4 linked regions of the Arabidopsis thaliana genome follow. The protein of the gene in region 2 interacts with the protein of the main gene of each other region in a biochemical or structural test. Each region holds a gene or a part of one and is shown on either strand. Other genes may lie near its edges. The genes, in order: ATARCA, GG1, FTA and AGB1.

What was found.
Region 1: the proteins of GG1 (region 2) and ATARCA form a complex in vitro, tested with the Arabidopsis thaliana proteins (one study listed by BioGRID).
Region 3: of the proteins of GG1 (region 2) and FTA, one has a biochemical effect on the other in vitro, tested with the Arabidopsis thaliana proteins (one study listed by BioGRID).
Region 4: the proteins of GG1 (region 2) and AGB1 form a complex in vitro, tested with the Arabidopsis thaliana proteins (one study listed by BioGRID).

Annotation. Positions count from the first base shown.
Region 1 is NC_003070.9:6,220,280-6,224,742, forward strand, and holds ATARCA (Transducin/WD40 repeat-like superfamily protein), read left to right. Parts: upstream 1-1,921; 5' UTR 1,922-2,045; coding exon 2,046-2,927; intron 2,928-3,520; coding exon 3,521-3,622; 3' UTR 3,623-3,963; downstream 3,964-4,463. Other genes in the region: AT1G18090 (5'-3' exonuclease family protein), read left to right, coding at 4,260-4,337. UniProt on the Arabidopsis thaliana protein: Major component of the RACK1 regulatory proteins that play a role in multiple signal transduction pathways. Involved in multiple hormone responses and developmental processes.
Region 2 is NC_003074.8:23,415,237-23,419,494, reverse strand, and holds GG1 (Ggamma-subunit 1), read right to left. Parts: upstream 2,247-4,258; 5' UTR 2,233-2,246; coding exon 1,999-2,232; intron 1,488-1,998; coding exon 1,435-1,487; intron 1,295-1,434; coding exon 1,250-1,294; intron 1,175-1,249; coding exon 1,090-1,174; 3' UTR 514-1,089; downstream 1-513. Other genes in the region: APG1 (S-adenosyl-L-methionine-dependent methyltransferases superfamily protein), read left to right, coding at 2,493-3,043, 3,138-3,444, 3,521-3,679; AT3G63400 (Cyclophilin-like peptidyl-prolyl cis-trans isomerase family protein), read right to left, coding at 4,060-4,258. UniProt on the Arabidopsis thaliana protein: Guanine nucleotide-binding proteins (G proteins) are involved as a modulator or transducer in various transmembrane signaling systems.
Region 3 is NC_003074.8:21,942,534-21,946,507, reverse strand, and holds FTA (farnesyltransferase A), read right to left. Parts: upstream 2,339-3,974; 5' UTR 2,300-2,338; coding exon 2,075-2,299; intron 1,939-2,074; coding exon 1,829-1,938; intron 1,559-1,828; coding exon 1,438-1,558; intron 1,353-1,437; coding exon 1,257-1,352; intron 1,156-1,256; coding exon 727-1,155; 3' UTR 501-726; downstream 1-500. Other genes in the region: AT3G59390 (glycosyltransferase family protein), read right to left, coding at 101-177, 263-348. UniProt on the Arabidopsis thaliana protein: Essential subunit of both the farnesyltransferase and the geranylgeranyltransferase complex.
Region 4 is NC_003075.7:16,476,482-16,481,439, forward strand, and holds AGB1 (GTP binding protein beta 1), read right to left. Parts: upstream 3,140-4,958; 5' UTR 2,786-3,139; coding exon 2,680-2,785; intron 2,608-2,679; coding exon 2,513-2,607; exon of another isoform or gene 2,289-2,512; coding exon of another isoform or gene 2,274-2,288; coding exon 1,849-2,273; intron 1,601-1,848; coding exon 1,243-1,600; intron 1,165-1,242; coding exon of another isoform or gene 1,154-1,164; coding exon 1,040-1,153; intron 948-1,039; coding exon 912-947; 3' UTR 550-911; downstream 1-549. Other genes in the region: AT4G34450 (coatomer gamma-2 subunit, putative / gamma-2 coat protein, putative / gamma-2 COP), read left to right, coding at 120-314; SK12 (SKP1-like 12), read right to left, coding at 3,541-3,999; AT4G34480 (O-Glycosyl hydrolases family 17 protein), read right to left, coding at 4,666-4,859. UniProt on the Arabidopsis thaliana protein: Guanine nucleotide-binding proteins (G proteins) are involved as a modulator or transducer in various transmembrane signaling systems.

The sequences.
Region 1 (4,463 bases), on a different chromosome or scaffold from region 2:
TCTATGTTTTATCTTTCATAATAGATCTGATAATTTTGATTTTTCACTATATATATTATGGTTAATACTAGTAGCTTTTTCATTTCAAGTTTTATCCTTCCATTGGTTCTTTCTGAGTCAAATTGTCTCCTGTTTCGAACCATATATAAGTTTTCAATGGTTTTGTATTAACTCAAGTATTCAACATTATGTCTCTCTTTTTCTTGCTTGGATCTCTAATGCTGTTCATATTTTAAAGCATAGGTTTAGGTTAGATGCATGTAACTGCCAATTAAAAGAAGGTCAAGAGTTTTTTGATTGTATGAATATATGAGTTAGTCAAAGCAGATCCACACGATTATATAGAAAAACAAAGGAAGAAGAAGAGGAAGAGCTCCTTGAAGTTCAATGGAGGGTTTAGCAGGGTGAAGTAAAGCTGCTAAGCTATGGATCCCATAAGCCTTATCAAATTCAATATAATTGATGATAAGGTTTTTTTTATGGATGCCATATCTCAGGAGCTTTCACTTACCCCTTTAATGGCTTCACTCTTCTTTGGATTGAAGGGAGCTCTTCATCTCTCCATCCCTATCTCTCTCTCTCTCTATCTTTAGTTCTTTTAAGAATGACTTTTCATTTTTTGTGTTGTCTGTTGCAGGTGTATAAACATGGATGATGGATCTTGAGTAGGATTTTTTATTTTATTTTCTTGTGACATATATGCAATTTTTATGGTTTGTACTTTGTATTTCCATTAGTTTCGTACTTTTCAGTTATGTATCATTGTTAATTCTAATGTTTGAAGACATTTAGAGTTTATACTTCTCTAAATTACTTTTTCGACTCAATAAAGTCGTTTAAGTGTCTACAAGTATATACCGTGTTAATACTTTTCAATTCATATCCACCATTGTATAAAGATATGATCCGCTTTTATTTAAGTGAATCAATTAATTTACAGTATTCCTCTATATCTCTCTCACACTGTTCGAATAAATTTAATACTCAACAGATCTAGTTTGAACTTTTTAAATAAGTTTAGCCGAAGAAAATTATCATTGTTGAACAAACTTATTAAATTCGGATTGGCTTATTTGATGCATCCAGATTGCAAAACTATATTTTTGAATACAGCTGGAAATGTTTTTAAAGTGTAAAACAACGGTATATATATAAGTCAAACTGGTTTTTTTTGTAGATTTCTCTCCCTTTAGCAAGTTTTATTGCTTTCCTATAATCCATAATATTTACATCCAAAACAGCAATTATATAAGATTTTCTGCTATTTCAATACGATGTTATACTATTTCGGCAGATGTACGTACTACATTACATCTAACCAATCCAGATTGATAACTATATTTGATGTAATCTCGAATTAGTCAATCTCTGTACCACATATAAGAAATTTTGCTTTTTTCACAAAAGAGTTGTTAGAAATTTGACCTATACAAAAATAATGACCACGATAAATGAGTATATACATGTACGTAAGATAAATGTAAAGTTGTATATTTGTGCGCCATTCATGATTCATTCCACGTATATATTGTTTGTTCGAATCAAAGCAAACTCAGAAAATGAAAACGCTGAATGACGATAAAAATAGGGACGCTTTTGTTCGAATTAGCGTGCCCATTATGTCACGAACGTAGATTCAAGTCTTGGCCATAAAACAGGATTCCTTATAGCATCCACCAAAACACGAGAAATCATTCTCAAAAACAGTCTCTCCAAATCCGAACTAAACAACTCATAGCCCATATAATAAGGTCTGTAGTGGGATGCGTTTTTGGCTTTTAGAACATACCAATTGGAGAACACGCTTTCTTACACATGGAAACAAATTACGAACGCTTCCACCAAATATGGGCTGAGATAAGCCCATTAACATAAGACCCAGTAATAAATATATAATATGAGCCCATATTAAATGAACCCTAATCCATTTTTAGTTTCTATCATATAAATAGCTTCTTGTGTTTTTCACGCCCTTCTTCTTTGTATTTCCGCCTCCCCCGAGAAAACGAAAACCCTAGTTTCAGAGGCATCTCCAGACACCGAAAATGGCGGAAGGACTCGTTTTGAAGGGCACCATGCGTGCACACACTGACATGGTGACGGCAATCGCCACCCCAATCGATAACGCAGACATCATCGTCTCAGCTTCCCGCGACAAATCCATCATTTTGTGGAAACTCACCAAGGACGACAAAGCCTACGGTGTAGCTCAGAGGCGTCTCACTGGTCACTCTCACTTCGTTGAGGATGTTGTTCTCTCCTCCGATGGACAATTCGCGCTTTCCGGCAGCTGGGACGGCGAGCTCCGTCTTTGGGATCTTGCTGCTGGTGTCTCCACTCGTAGATTCGTTGGACACACCAAGGACGTGCTCTCCGTCGCCTTCTCACTCGACAACCGTCAGATCGTCTCTGCATCTCGTGACCGTACGATCAAGCTGTGGAACACTCTTGGTGAGTGCAAGTACACCATTTCAGAAGGTGGTGAGGGACACCGTGATTGGGTTAGCTGCGTCAGATTCAGCCCTAACACGCTTCAGCCGACGATTGTATCTGCTTCGTGGGACAAGACCGTGAAAGTGTGGAACCTTTCGAACTGCAAGCTCAGATCGACTCTTGCTGGTCACACCGGTTACGTGAGCACTGTGGCTGTATCACCTGATGGTTCTCTTTGTGCAAGTGGAGGCAAAGACGGTGTTGTTTTGCTGTGGGATTTGGCTGAGGGGAAGAAGCTTTACTCTCTTGAAGCTAACTCTGTGATCCATGCTCTTTGCTTCAGTCCCAACAGGTACTGGCTCTGTGCTGCAACTGAACATGGTATTAAGATTTGGGACCTTGAGAGCAAGAGCATTGTTGAGGATTTGAAGGTTGATCTCAAGGCTGAGGCTGAAAAGGCTGACAACAGTGGTCCTGCTGCCACCAAGAGGAAGGTACACAAATATTTTCCCATGATGGTTCAATCATATGCTTTTAATCGATTACAAGTTTTCAGCTTTTGTATAGGAAGAATTTTCTGTAGTTGGTTATGATGTTGATTATGACTTGTGATTAAGTATTACCCATAGCTGAGTATATCATAATTCGTAATGTTGGTCTGTTATTGAAAATGTGAAAGTTCGTAAAAAGTTTCTTACATGGATTATTCTATTCAAATGCTACACGATGATATATGTAAATGGTCTTCTACACTTGGTTTCAGTTTCAGATTCTGCAATTATGTTTGCTTGAATTACCATTCCGTTTGGAGACTTAGGCTCTCTATCTTCTTTATCTGTTTTAATCTTCCATATATAGCAATTACCATAATTGTGTTTTCGCCCCAGTTTGAGCCTAAATTGTCAATTAAGGTTGTCTTTTAATGGTTTTGTGTGTCCATACTCATTGATTACCTGACATTTCTTGTTAGGATCATAGTAGTAGTAATATTTTTCTCCTGATACATAGCCCTTTGTTTGTTGTGTAATAGTACATGTAAATAACCATGGAAAGTGACTGAATTCAATTTGTTTGTTGATTGGGTCAGGTTATTTACTGCACAAGCCTTAACTGGAGCGCTGATGGAAGCACCCTCTTCAGTGGTTACACCGATGGAGTCATTAGAGTTTGGGGTATTGGTCGTTACTAGTAATCTCATCACTTGTGCTGTCGTTGCTCTCTGCTATCTGCTTGTTGGTTTTATCTATCACTTATGTTTTTATCGACAACTCATGAAGTACCTTGAGGTTTTTGGAAGGATGTTTGTTTTCTTGTCAATCTAGGTTTTTGCTTCTTTATCTTATCGTTCGAGATCTTGGTTTTTAGAGTTACTTCTCCCATTTTGTGGCAAATGATTCCCATTAATAATATAGCGAAATGGTGGAATAGCGGAATTCTCTAAAATTTGTAACTTTATCCAATATGACAGATGAACCAAATGATTTTTAACATGTAATAAACTACTGATTTGCAACGAACTAAGAAGGTTATAGACATGAACATACTATCTTTGGAAATGGACATGAACTGCCGCTATTACTGCTGCTTCCTTCGACCAACGAAATTTCGCCACATAGACTGGTAAAGTCGAACAGCCGCTATTACTGCTGATGTGGCATCTGTCGTATTTTAATCACTCCCGCCATTGCCTTTTCGCGCTAAGTTTTTTTTTTTACTTATGCTTTTTTACTCTAGACTGGAAAAACAAAACAAAAAAGGCTATAAAAAGAAAAATAAAGAAGACAAATTCGCAAGAACCCTAAAAAGAAGAAGATAAGAAATCGGAAATGGGCATCAAGGACCTTCTCAGATTCATGAAACCTTATATCCTTCCCATTCACATCCAGAAATACGCCGGGAAACGAGTAATTTTCTCCGACTTGTTTTCTTAATGTTCTCCATTTCCTTCTCGATTTTAGTTTCCGTTAATCGTTCTGGGTAAATCTCCATTAAAAATCAAGTTTTTAAATGATGGGCTTACACATTTTTGT
Region 2 (4,258 bases):
GTGAGTGAGGCTATAATGCATGTTTCAATGTTCAGGTTTCATCACGAGGTGAATTGTTTGAATCCCCAATATTTCTGTACTCTCTCTGACCAGATATGCTGCAGATGTTGTAACGTGCTTCTTCCGGCTGCTCAATCATTTTTCTTTTGGACCAACTCACATCTCTGTGTTAATTTCTCTTCTGTTTATATAACAAATTCATACTACAAACTTTGATCAATTTTTTTTTATTTATGGGAGAAGAAGGAGCTCTAATGAGGTCATCAACTTTGATCTTGACCAATGAGGCAATGAAAACAGATGACATACTACTGTATATCCAAAGGTTGTCAGAAAACCCACCTTACCAGTATTTGTTTACTCATCACAAATTTGAGGAATATTTTGGAATGCATAAACTATCTTTTTAGCTGTCGAATAAACTTACCGTAAATCACTTCTACTAATACCCTCTACATTTCTCAATTTTTTTTTTAAACCTCATAACTTGTTTTAATTTTTGAGACATAGAAAGAAAAAAACAAAAGGGGGTTCTACTTTAACAGACTGTAATAATACAGAAGTGGAGGAGAAGAGTAATAAGTAATAATAAAAAGACAACAGATGAGGCATGTGCTCTGTGTTCCATTATCGTTCTATCTATATAATAAACATAGGTATGTATGTATTCTGATCCTCGAAACTAGCGTGTGTGTATCATGGAGGGTGGATGTGGCCAAAAGTTATCTAAAAAGAAAAAAGAGAGACACACTTAACGGTCTTCAAGATTGTACCCACTTCCTCATTAGCTATTACTCTATTAGCCCCCAAATATCACTATGCACATTTCAGCTTCTTTCAACAAGATCTAGAATAAGAAGATGAGAAGCTGTAAGCCTGAAACTCCATTACTCGTATGTCAGATCCGGATCCCATACATTACATATACATATAATACTGTTTACGTAGGTGCAACTAAGCCGTTCTATGCAATTCCAATGCTCATTAATCTGTACGCTTTTTCTCTGCTACAGCCCCATTTTGGATCCCATGTAAAATGATATCCTAGCAAGAAACTAGTATATGTAACACATTACTCTGTCTAGCGAATCAAAGTATTAAGCATCTGCAGCCTTCTCCTCCATTTGGTCCTTCAAACCACCGGTCCCATCCTAAGTTCAAAGGTCCATTGGTTCTGCCAGCACCACAACATCCATCAGTTATTCAGTCCAAACCAACACTAGAGTTTCAAGGTTTAAAAAGCACTCACAGTGGCAACAGAGGATCGGGTCCTTTCTCGATGACAGATAGCAGCCTGCGAACCAAGGGAATATCAATTTGATCACCAATCAACGTACAAGTTTCAGTCAAATCCAGATAATATACCTACAGGAGCTAGCACACAGTTGCTTGCAAGCGTTAAAAAAAAACATAGGTTGAGTATCCCATACTTACTCCTCACACACGGTTGATACAATATCTGTGTTCTCGACCTCCTTCAACTCTTTCTGGATATAGTACATGAAACAGAAAGAGAGAGTAAAGCTATTTTTAGTAAGTGTTAGAGCTCACTAGTAGGAACAATAGGCAAACACATTATCTGTGCAACAGAGAAACTTGGGAGAAGGTTAACTTTTAACATGCCTCGATAGATGATAACCAAGAGAGAATGATACTAATTGGACTATGATCAAAAGTATTCTTGCACATCCCTAAGAATAAGATCAACAGAGAACCATTCCAATAGTGGATCCAAAGAGAACCCAGCAGATTTAGATTTTGGGAATACAATTCATAGAGTCATAAACAAGACTGACTGAAATGGTGCCACTTATTGTCAAGAGAACTACCATGCTCTTCTGATTGGAACAGATCTGCCATACTGGTTTTTGCTTTCACAGGAAACAATCTTAGCGACCTTTACCTAATTGTTGTAACAATTGATCTAAAAAGGATAATTGAGCTATCCACGAGAGACCTACGTCGGAATTTGAAAGAGATACGAGTTAGTTTAGCTACCTCCAAGAAAGCGACTTCCTGTTCAACGCGGGCAAGCTCTGCAAGGATCCTGTGCTTGCCCCCGCCGTGAGAAACAGACTCCTCCTGCTCGTAAACCACAGTTTCCTCTCGCATCCTCTCGCTAGCAGGTCGCAGATCTGACAACGTCAGAGAGAGTCTGGTCTTAGTCCGTACAAGTTTGAATTGTCGTCGAAGTCTCTCTCTCTCTGACTCAAATCGACTTTTCCCTTCCATTTGCAGAAAAATGCCAAAACGCCCAATACTATTATTTGGGCCAATTCTTGCAAATGAGCCCATGGGCTCAACAAAGGGATATGTGTTGTCGCAACAAACAACGTGACCGTACATAAACATGTGGTTGGAGTCAGTACTGACTCTGTTAGAGTTAGAGGGTTTAGTCACACTCTCATTCTCGTTTGTGTTTTTGATTGGCGGAGAATTGGTGATAGATAAGCTTCTTCTTCCCTCTTCTCAACTTGGTGGATCTGTCATCGATGGCCTCTTTGATGCTCAACGGGGCCATTACCTTCCCCAAAGGTTTAGGTTCCCCTGGTTCCAATTTGCATGCCAGATCGATTCCTCGGCCGACCTTACTCTCAGTTACCCGAACCTCCACACCTAGACTCTCGGTGGCTACTAGATGCAGCAGCAGCAGCGTGTCGTCTTCCCGGCCATCGGCGCAACCTAGGTTCATTCAGCACAAGAAGGAGGCTTACTGGTTCTACAGGTTCTTATCCATCGTATACGACCATGTCATCAATCCTGGGCATTGGACCGAGGATATGAGAGACGACGCTCTTGAGCCAGCGGATCTCAGCCATCCGGACATGCGAGTGGTCGATGTCGGCGGCGGAACTGGTTTCACTACTCTGGGCATAGTCAAGACAGTGAAGGCCAAGAATGTGACCATTCTGGACCAGTCGCCACATCAGCTGGCCAAAGCAAAGCAAAAGGAGCCGTTGAAAGAATGCAAGATCGTCGAGGGAGATGCTGAGGATCTTCCTTTTCCAACCGATTATGCTGACAGATACGTTTCTGCTGGAAGGTATCCTTTTCTTCTTCTTCTTCTTCTTCTTCTTCTTCTTCTTATAATCGTCTTCTTTCCGGTGGGTTTGATTGTGTGTCTCATCATCACACAGCATTGAGTACTGGCCGGACCCGCAGAGGGGAATAAGGGAAGCGTACAGGGTTCTCAAGATCGGTGGCAAAGCGTGTCTCATCGGCCCTGTCTACCCAACCTTCTGGCTCTCTCGCTTCTTTTCTGATGTCTGGATGCTCTTCCCCAAGGAGGAAGAGTACATTGAGTGGTTCAAGAATGCCGGTTTCAAGGACGTTCAGCTCAAGAGGATTGGCCCCAAGTGGTACCGTGGTGTTCGCAGGCACGGCCTTATCATGGGATGTTCTGTCACTGGTGTTAAACCTGCCTCCGGTGACTCTCCTCTCCAGGTCTTTTACCTCCCACTTCACCTTTTTTACTTTCTTCTCTCTTTGATACACTAAACTTATCACTCAAATGCTGCAGCTTGGTCCAAAGGAAGAGGACGTAGAGAAGCCTGTCAACAACCCCTTCTCCTTCTTGGGACGCTTCCTCCTGGGAACTCTAGCAGCTGCCTGGTTTGTGTTAATCCCTATCTACATGTGGATCAAGGATCAGATCGTTCCCAAAGACCAACCCATCTGATCCTTCTCTTCTAGGACATGATCATTGTATCATTGTAAACCCCTCTTGTGGTAAAGAAAGATTCGAGTCCTATCTATGAACATGCGGAATATCATTAACCTTCTTTCTTTACATGTATTACTAGATTTTCATGTTGAGATATCTATGCTACTTGTTCGATAAATTTTCTACAAACTTCGATTCCCAAACTCAATTCTGCCAACATATATCAGTCTCAATTTGATCAATGTTCCACGATCTGTAATAATGCAACTAAGGTAGAGTATTATATATCCGACCAACATAAAAAATATCATTACCTATTATTGCTTGCACTAAAACACGGAAATTAAAACAAAAACTCGCAAGTCAGCAGAGAAACCAATGGATGAGAGTGACCATCAATCCGCATAGCTAACCAGACCTCTCTTTCCTGGTGGAGAAGGTGAGTGAGAAGGGCTGAGTGATTCTGCAGGAGAGGTGCGTCCTCCTCTGATGGGGGATCTCTGTGGCCCGAGACGGGATTTCAGGTCTTGGCTAATTGGCTGCCTCTTTCTAGGGCTCTGGCTACGGCTACGATGCCTCGGACTCTGGCTCCTG
Region 3 (3,974 bases), 1.5 Mb from region 2:
AAGTTGCAACAACAAACCATTCATGGATCACCAAATCTAAGTCGAAAGAGATTCAAAATGTTCAAAAAGGTGAATCTTTCCAAGAGTGGAAATCGCTAACCTTCATCATCGGAGATCAAGTATCTTCCTTGGACAGTTGTTCTGCAACTCCGCTCTTCCAAAAATCCGATATCCTTCCTGCAAATTCATTCGAAAATCTCAAGGAAATGAAACTAAGCGGGACAATTCATAGAAGCAATGGTTGTTACCCAAAATTAATCACCTAATTGCAGAAACTCTCAACGGAAATAAGAAACCCATGATAAGTAGAAGAACGAGGAACAGCAGACTAAACCCAGATTTGGACATAATTCTTGTCGGAGAAAGAACCAATCTTTCGACCAAATCACGCTTCCGACTTCGACCACTTCAGAAACTTTTTTTTTAATCTTATGAATTAGTATAGTTTTGTCGTTAAAATTGAATTGGGGAAATCCGCGAGCCAAACCAAAACCCGGTTTCGGTTTTGATCTTCCGGTTATCGAGAGAGCAATGCGTTTAGTCAAAGTGTGTGATGCAAAATCATTCTTGAGAAAGCTTCTCTGAATATCACAAGGCGAAGGAAACTGAGAAATCAAGATTGTTTTGATACATGTTAACATGAACATGTGATTCATAAATAAGCAGTACATACGTAAAAACTAATAATCAAGTCTTTTTCAAGTGTGATTTTGGGGCGTCACATATTCAAATTGCTGCCACTGTAATCTTGCTCTTCCTCCATGCCCAATAGTTAGCTCTTACAGGATCTACACGACCAAGAATAGTACACACCAAATTGGCCAAGTTAGTCTCTGGTTCTTCATTAGCTAGAGCTCTCACTGAGTCTTTATGCTCGTTGGTTGGTCTCAGTCCATCACATAGAAGATCCAAAAGGGTGCTCAGAGCGAATCCATGGAAGCAATCTGTGCGGGATAGAACATTCAAACAGACTGAGGAAACACTTGGATCACTAATCCAGGATTCTTTGTCGTCTTTGTAAAGAGCTTTTAGGTATCGCCATGAGCTCTCGTTTGCAGGATTGGTTAAAATGGCTTTGATTGTGTAGCTTACTTCAGATTCTCTCATGGCTTCTAGGCCTCCCAACAAAGGAGATTGGGTGATGACATAATACCTCTGTCAGATTAAGGGAATGAGATTATACAAATAGGTGACAGAATCGGCAATTGATAGATTAGAGATACAGAATTTCGTATGTGTATCAACGATCAAGTTACCTGATTCCAGGCGGAATTGTTAAAGACGTCAGCTTCAAGGAGCTCGTGACAGTAATCGAGCTCATCTTCCCATCCTCCTAATGCCCGTAGTGTCCACTGCAGATTGTTTCCATATTATCAAACAAAAAGATATGCAATGATACCCCAAGTGAATGCTTTAACAAGGTTTGAGATCGCAAACCTGCCTATGTGACCAAGCATGATAATGTTTGGCATCAAGTGAAAGTACTCTACGGGTAAATTCAAGTTCTCTCCCTGCAACATCAGGACCCAGTTTCTCTGCAACCCATCGCCGATGATGCCTAGAGAAAAGGAAAACATAGAGCAGAAGCATGGACCATCAAACTCAAAACAAACAACCAAGGGTTTTAACGTTGTATAATCAGCAGATATGAGACACTATGAACTTAACAATGTGTACAAGAACAAACTTTCATCTATGGAGAAGTAGAATATACATTTATTGATTCAAAATTATTCATCAGACAATTTTCAAAAGTATAACTCACTCATAGACTTTCATGATCAAAAGCACATAGATCAAACAAGGTGTGAAAAGGTATGAACTTTACCACAGTTGGTAGTTCTTAGAGTTATCCTCAGCAATGCGTTCGATGAACTCGAGTTCTTCAAACAAGTCGTGATTAAGGGCCTCGAGTACTAGGCGCCTGAAATGCCACACCTTCAAAGGTAAACAAAAATATCGGTAAGACTAAAAATTGAAGCAACAAGGACCAATAAAAGACTAAAATCCATCAAATTTCAAAACCATAAGAGTTCAGATAGTTGTTGATTATATGAATTATAAGATTGATTACTGTGTAGTTGCCGGAGTTTAAGAGGAGGGTTTCTTCCGTGAGTCGTAGTGCGCGAGGAGATCGCTCGTCGGAAAAGTAAATCGCACGGAAGTAATCCATAGTCTCGCGGAACTCTTCCTTGTAGGCAATTGGCACCACTGGATTCGGACCATCGTCCTGAGTCAATGGGACCACGTCTGACCACTCCAATCGTTGGCTCAGTGGCACGGTCTCGTCGAAATTCATGTTCCCCGACTCCGATCCAAAGTCGAAAACCGAAGACTCCATGAAAAGTTGAAAACTAATTAGGGGAGGGGTAATGGGCTTTTAAGCCCAAACCACAATTCTACTATGATATCCTTTTTTGGCCCATTTTTAAAAATAACCACTTTCTTAACCAAAATGACTAAATTAATCATCATCAAATCTAATGAGAACATGTAGTTAGAAACCAAAACTTACCCACCTAAATTTTAAGTGCCAAAATTTTATTTTCTCTGTTTTTTCCCGCCAAAAAATTGCATTTAAAGTCTTTCTAATTTTGTTTAGAACCCTTAAAAAACCATTGTAAATCCTTTAAAAATTCTTAGAAAATCCTAGTAAAGTTTTTTAAAGCTTTGTAAAATTGTTAAAAACTCTTGTAAACCATTTTAAAACTTATTAAAATCCTTATAAAGTTTTTAAATATACATGTAAATACTTTAAAATCCTTTTTAAAACATTTTTTCAATATTTTAGAATCCTTATAAATCATTTAAAACCATTGTAAAATATATTTTAAGGGTTTAAAAGGCTTTAAATAATATATACAACAAGGATAATTTTAAGAGTTTAAAAAAAAAAAAAAAAATTTTTTGAGAGTTTTGAAAGCATTTACAAAAGTTTTCAAATGACTTTAAAAGGAATTATAAAAGTTTTAAAATCCTTTAAAATCATTGTAAATCCTTTTAAAACTCTTAAAAAAAGGCTTGTAAATATTTTTTAAATCCTTGTACTTAAAGCATTGTATAACAGCATAGAGGCCTTACTATTCACCATTACATCAAGAAGAAGCCCGTAATGGTGAAGAAGAGGTGACAGCTGCTATTATTGTCAATGGTTTGAAAGATGAACGAACTCTTTCATTAACCAAGGAAATGTTTAGGAGTTAAGATCATGAATCAACATTTTGGTGTTCTAGTTTTAGCTTCAGATATCGTATTGATTAATCCTTGATTAATCAGCACCCTCAGCTTTAGCAACACCTTTGTCGATCTTTCGATCCTTTCTCTCCCGATTGTACTGCTTGCAACCAACAATATTCAACAACCAAAAGTATATGCATATGCATACTTGACAGGAGGTAAATGACTCTTATTGCTTAATCATGGTCCCAACTCAACACATGATTAATAAGACCTAAACAATCGATTAATGAAGATTAAGTAATGATTTTTCACAAGAGCTGAGGAATAACAAAAACAATATTTTATTTTGTACTTTTTAAAAATATGAAAAAATTCCTAAAATAAAATTTACAGTATGTATATAACTTTACAACTTATTTTAAAGTAAAAATTCGTAAAACTATATTTTTTTTTAAGTCATAGCTTTATTTTTTAAAAAATAAAAATCACAGTATAAGACTTTACAGCTTATATAAAGTAACAGCTACCCTCTAAAGCCCTCTCCAGTCACCCCATACTATGTGGGCATGAGGTGTAAAATAGTACAATTGCTTTTATATATAAGCAAAAAAAAGGTTCGTTCATGTGCAATAATCATCATCATGGTTCTTTCAAAAAACTAATAATTTTATCTTAATAGATATTTAGTTTGAAAAAACATTATTGTAAACGGTTTGCTTCTACTATAAATACCTCTCATCTTGATCAAATCTCTTCATACACCAAAGCATCACATACACTATATTTTCCTTCGA
Region 4 (4,958 bases), on a different chromosome or scaffold from region 2:
CTTTTTTCTCATACTCTACTGAGACTTGAGGGCTAAAATTATTGTTGATAAAGTCTTTTTTGAGTATATGACCATTTGTTGTGTTCCTGAAATTGAAACTGACACTGGATAAATAACAGGGGACGGAGACAATTCCGCTCAATGCAAGGTCACACACGTGTCTATTGTCAGGTGTGTACATAGGCAACGTGAAAGTGTTAGTGAGGGCACAGTTTGGAATGGACAGCTCAAAGGACATTGCAATGAAGCTGACAGTTAGAGCTGAAGACGTTTCTGTCGCCGAGGCCATTCACGAGATTGTTGCCAGCGGCTAAAACCTCTTGCGTTTCTTCAGTATCAGAGAATGTCATCTATTCCTGCTGCTAAACCTCAAAAATACATCAACTATTATAAATAGCATAGTATTACTTTCTTTCTTTTTTCCTTGCATTATTACTGTCAAATACACTATGGAGGTTTTCTTTTTATTTTATGACGGTGCTTTTTGATTTCTCATTTCTGAATTTTATTATTACCCGTTTTCTCGCCAAGTTGGGAATCTACAGATCATCTTGCTCGGATTTGAAAACCACTACCGTACCGTACAACAGGCTAGGCTTTCTCCATAAGTTAGAAACTCAAAAATAGTAGCGTTTTATCGTCTGCGTTCAATATGAAGAGATGATAGTAAAGTAAAGACTGGTGGGTACACAATTGATTACAGAATTCACATTGAGTAGCGTGTTGAAGGAGTTTAGTTCCCAATGAAGAAATAAATAAATCAAAGCACACTACAAAAAGGGAAGTTTAATTCTTCTAACCACTCCACTATTTCAAACCAAACACCTTCCACAAACCGAACCTTACTTCCCGACTACAGAATATATTAACCAACAACTGGAGACGTGACTCCTACTTTCGTTAAATCTTCTTCAAATCACTCTCCTGTGTCCTCCAAACGCCCATATCTGTGTGAATTCAACGAAATTTCATCTATCCTCTAATTTCCTTACAAACATAACATGGTAAATGATAAGCAGAGACACTACTAAGTACTAACCTTTAGATTTGAATCCCAACTTCCTGTACACAAGGCACTTCCATCTGCTGACAACCCCAAACAGCTTATTCTATTCCTGTGTGAATCCTGCTGTAATCCCAAATCCAATACAACCTGCAAGAAAACTCCTCACGTTTCAATCATAAACCTTACATGAGCGAAAACAACTCTCACCACTCATTACTCAAATACTAATTGCTTACCTCTCCCAAGAGGGTATCCCAAACGTAGCAAGTGTTGTTGCTCGCATAGCCAGCGAAAAGAAGTCTCCCTGACACAGAGAATGCAATGGAGGTGACAGGTCCGTTCTCACCATCACCATGTGGCTGATAGACCTGGAGTTGGTGACCAGTCCTTATGTCATACAGCCTGCATGTTCCATCGTCTGATCCAGTCCCAAATCTATACCCATCCGGAAAGAACTTGACCGTATTAACATCTCCCTCGTGACCATGAAAGGTACGCACTGCTCGGCTTGCAGCACGAGTGTCCCACAACCGTGCTGTGGAATCGCATGAACCAGATATAAACCAGTTTGGGTTTGATCCACTGATTGAGACGCTGCAAGAATGGGGAATAATCACCAAGTAAGAGGGCGAGTTTAACTGACTTGCAATATATCATCCATGCTAGCTTTTATACACAAGTCAAATAAACGTATCTATTCAATAAGACCAAACCTATATGTTGATTCCAACACTCGATCCAAATGGTATGGTTCTGGAAGATTAAGTAGTTTTTCAAATATATTCTACTTTATCAAACAAACTGATGCCAATGAGCCAAGGAGATGAAAGCAATATCCATACCTTAGTACATCAGCAGTATGTCCAGACTGAAATTCACCGCCAAAAACAGAAGTTTTGAGACCAGTAGTTACATCCCATAAGATACAAGTTTGATCACCTGAACTGGTGATAAGGTGGGCATCCTCATTTGGGACATACTGACAGCACGAAACATATCCCCTGTGACCAGTGAGCATTCTTGAAACCGGTACAGTTCCATCCTTGTCCGCCGTTGAGCTAAGGCTAAAGATAGAACATACACTGTCTAATCCACCACACGCAACCGACTGACCATTTGGAGAGAAAGCACATGTCATAACCCATGCACAAGGGAGTTTAATAGCATGAGTTTTCTGACTCGTTAGAGCATTCCACACGATTAATCTCCCATCTTGAGATGCACTGACAATCCGGTTCCTCTCCGGTGTCCAATCTAATGAATAAACCTGCAAATCCCACATGTTAAATCAACAACAAGCTAACATTCACAATCAACTCTCCTGTCTCTACATTTCCGTAGGATCTTAAGCAAATCCTCATACATGATAACTGGTAACATCTTATAAACACCACCAACTAAATAACAAACTAGATACAACCCCAAAATGGAAGCTTTTTATCACAGGCTAGAAAACACTCCACAAAGAAGCATGCTTGAAGGATAAAGATGCAAACTTTGAGTCACCTTTCCGGTGTGTCCCTGAAGAGTACGACAACAAACCAGATCCGTTGCTCCGAAGCTCACCCGAGTACGTCCTTGCGCCGCTGAATACCTCGCCACTGGCAAAATTCAATCCAAATTAAAGAAGAAGAAGATGAGAGAAGAAGAGAGACGAAAAGGAATCCACAAACCATCGGTATCGAGGAGCTGGAGGCGTCTCTGTCTAAGCTGGTCACGGAGGTTATTAACGGTCTCCGTAGCGACGGCGTGGCGTTCTTTGAGCTCGGAGACAGACATTCCGGGATCAGACTTAGGCTTCTCCGTCGCCGATCAAATAAAAGGGGGAAACTTTGTGGGGTCTAGAAGAGAAGAAGGTTCATGATTGAGAGAGGGAGATCGAACCCTAGAAAGAATGGATTTGGGGGAATTACGTGGGAAAAGAGAGAGAGATTAAAAAAGCTTGAGAGAAGAATCAGTCAAGACACAAACACGGCTCTCTTGTTGAATGTTGATGATGGCTTCTCTGACCTGAGACTAGCTAGAGAGAGAGAAGAGGGTCAATAGACATTGACTGTTCCCATTAAAGTGGACCCTCTCACAATGATTAAACGATATCGTTTAAGAGCTATGATTGTTTTTGGTTTTGGACGAGATTTTCGATTCAATATAATGAATTTGAAGGATTTTTAACTACATATTTCTTTTTAAGAAACGTAATTTACAGTACAAGAAAAGAGAAAACATGTTAGTTATTTTGCTACGTGAATTTAATTTGTCTAATAGATTCTGTTTTTCTGAATTGGCTACAAGAACATCAATAATCCAATAAAATTAAGATTGTCTCAAGAGAAAATAAAATAAAAACACATTGGTTAAGCATATCAATATCCAACAAAAGATTATCTCAAGAGAATACAAATCAAAAAAAAAAATTTTAAAAAGTAGACGAAGTGATCATCATCTACATTATTGATCAAGAAGTTGCAAAAAAAAAAAAGAACACTAAAAGGAAAAAAGAAAAAGAAAGCTAGTTAGGTTTTTGATTCATGGGCTCATTCAAAAGCCCATTGATTCTCCTTACGAACAGCTTCTTCTTCCTCAGGTGTAAAATCATTCTCAATGTTGAAAGTTGAACGAATCTCCTCTGGAGTCTTGCCTTTGATCATGTCCGCAACAGTTTGGCATGTGAGATCAAACAAGCTTTTTATGTTGAGGTAATTCGCAGCAAGGATGAGTTCAAAGATGGTGGATTGTTCGAGATCCATGAACTTCTCGTCCCACTTGTTGAGATCCTCTTCAGAGATAGGATTAGCCTCGTCGACGTGGTATTTCTTGCAGTACTCGATCACTTTCACAAGAATCTTGCTTTCCACGTTTGCAAGAGGGATTCCATCAGCAACGCAATCGTCTTCAACCATATGCGCTATGGTCTGCGATTGGATTGCTACCGCTTCTTCCACCTCAAACGACTGACCATCGGAGCTCATCAACACGATCATCTTCGAAGACATTGTGTGTTCCTTGTGGAGGAGGTTTTTCACTGTGAAGCAAATTTGATGAAAGATTTAAGAATTTAGAGAGCGAACAAATTGTGTTAAGGTGATGAAGTTGTGAAACCCTATGCGTCTTTGTATTTATAAGCCCTAGCTAGAGTCGGTGAGATCAACCATTCCTTTTTTAAGAAGGAAATAGTTATTTTCCTTAACCGAAGAAAATAAGTAAATTATTTGTCGACTCCTTTTCATAAAAGGTAATTTCAGATGAGTAAACCAAAATAAACCGGGTCAAATTTTCATTTTTTTGTTGTAGGTTCGGCTCAAATCCTTATTTTCAGAAAATGTAAATTCAGTAAAGTGAACCAGCTAAACCGGTTTAAATTTACAATAGGCCCAATTATAAAGGTACGGCGTAAAATGTAACAATTTAAGAGGGATATAGATATACATTGGAATATAGGAAACTTTATCCAAAGATAATATTCAGATTCATTTATAAGAAACCAAAAGAAGTCTAGTAGATATAGCCGTTACAGACTATATAATACAATTGAGATAGAATGTGTGTAACCATTATAAACTAATAACAAACTCGATTACACTTAATACAGAGGAAGGAGAGGAGATTAACAAGTAGGCGTAATTAATTAATTACTTACCTCCAAGAGCTAATTGAGCCATTTACATATATACATGGAAGATAAGGGACAAAAAGATGAGTAGAAAAGATAGAGAAGAAGAGACTTTTGGTTCAGTTGCTCCATTCTTCTTCTCTACTTTGTCTGAGCTCACATACTTGTTCATTACTGCTTTACTTCCTCCTCCTCCTCCTCCTCCTCCTCCTCCTCCTCCCGGATATACGCAATTGTTGTAACCTATCAAATTCAGATTCAAGATAATTAAGAAACCCAATTAGTATAATAAAGCATGTAGAAAACCGATTATTTGGTCAATTAAAGCATTTACAAGGCCTA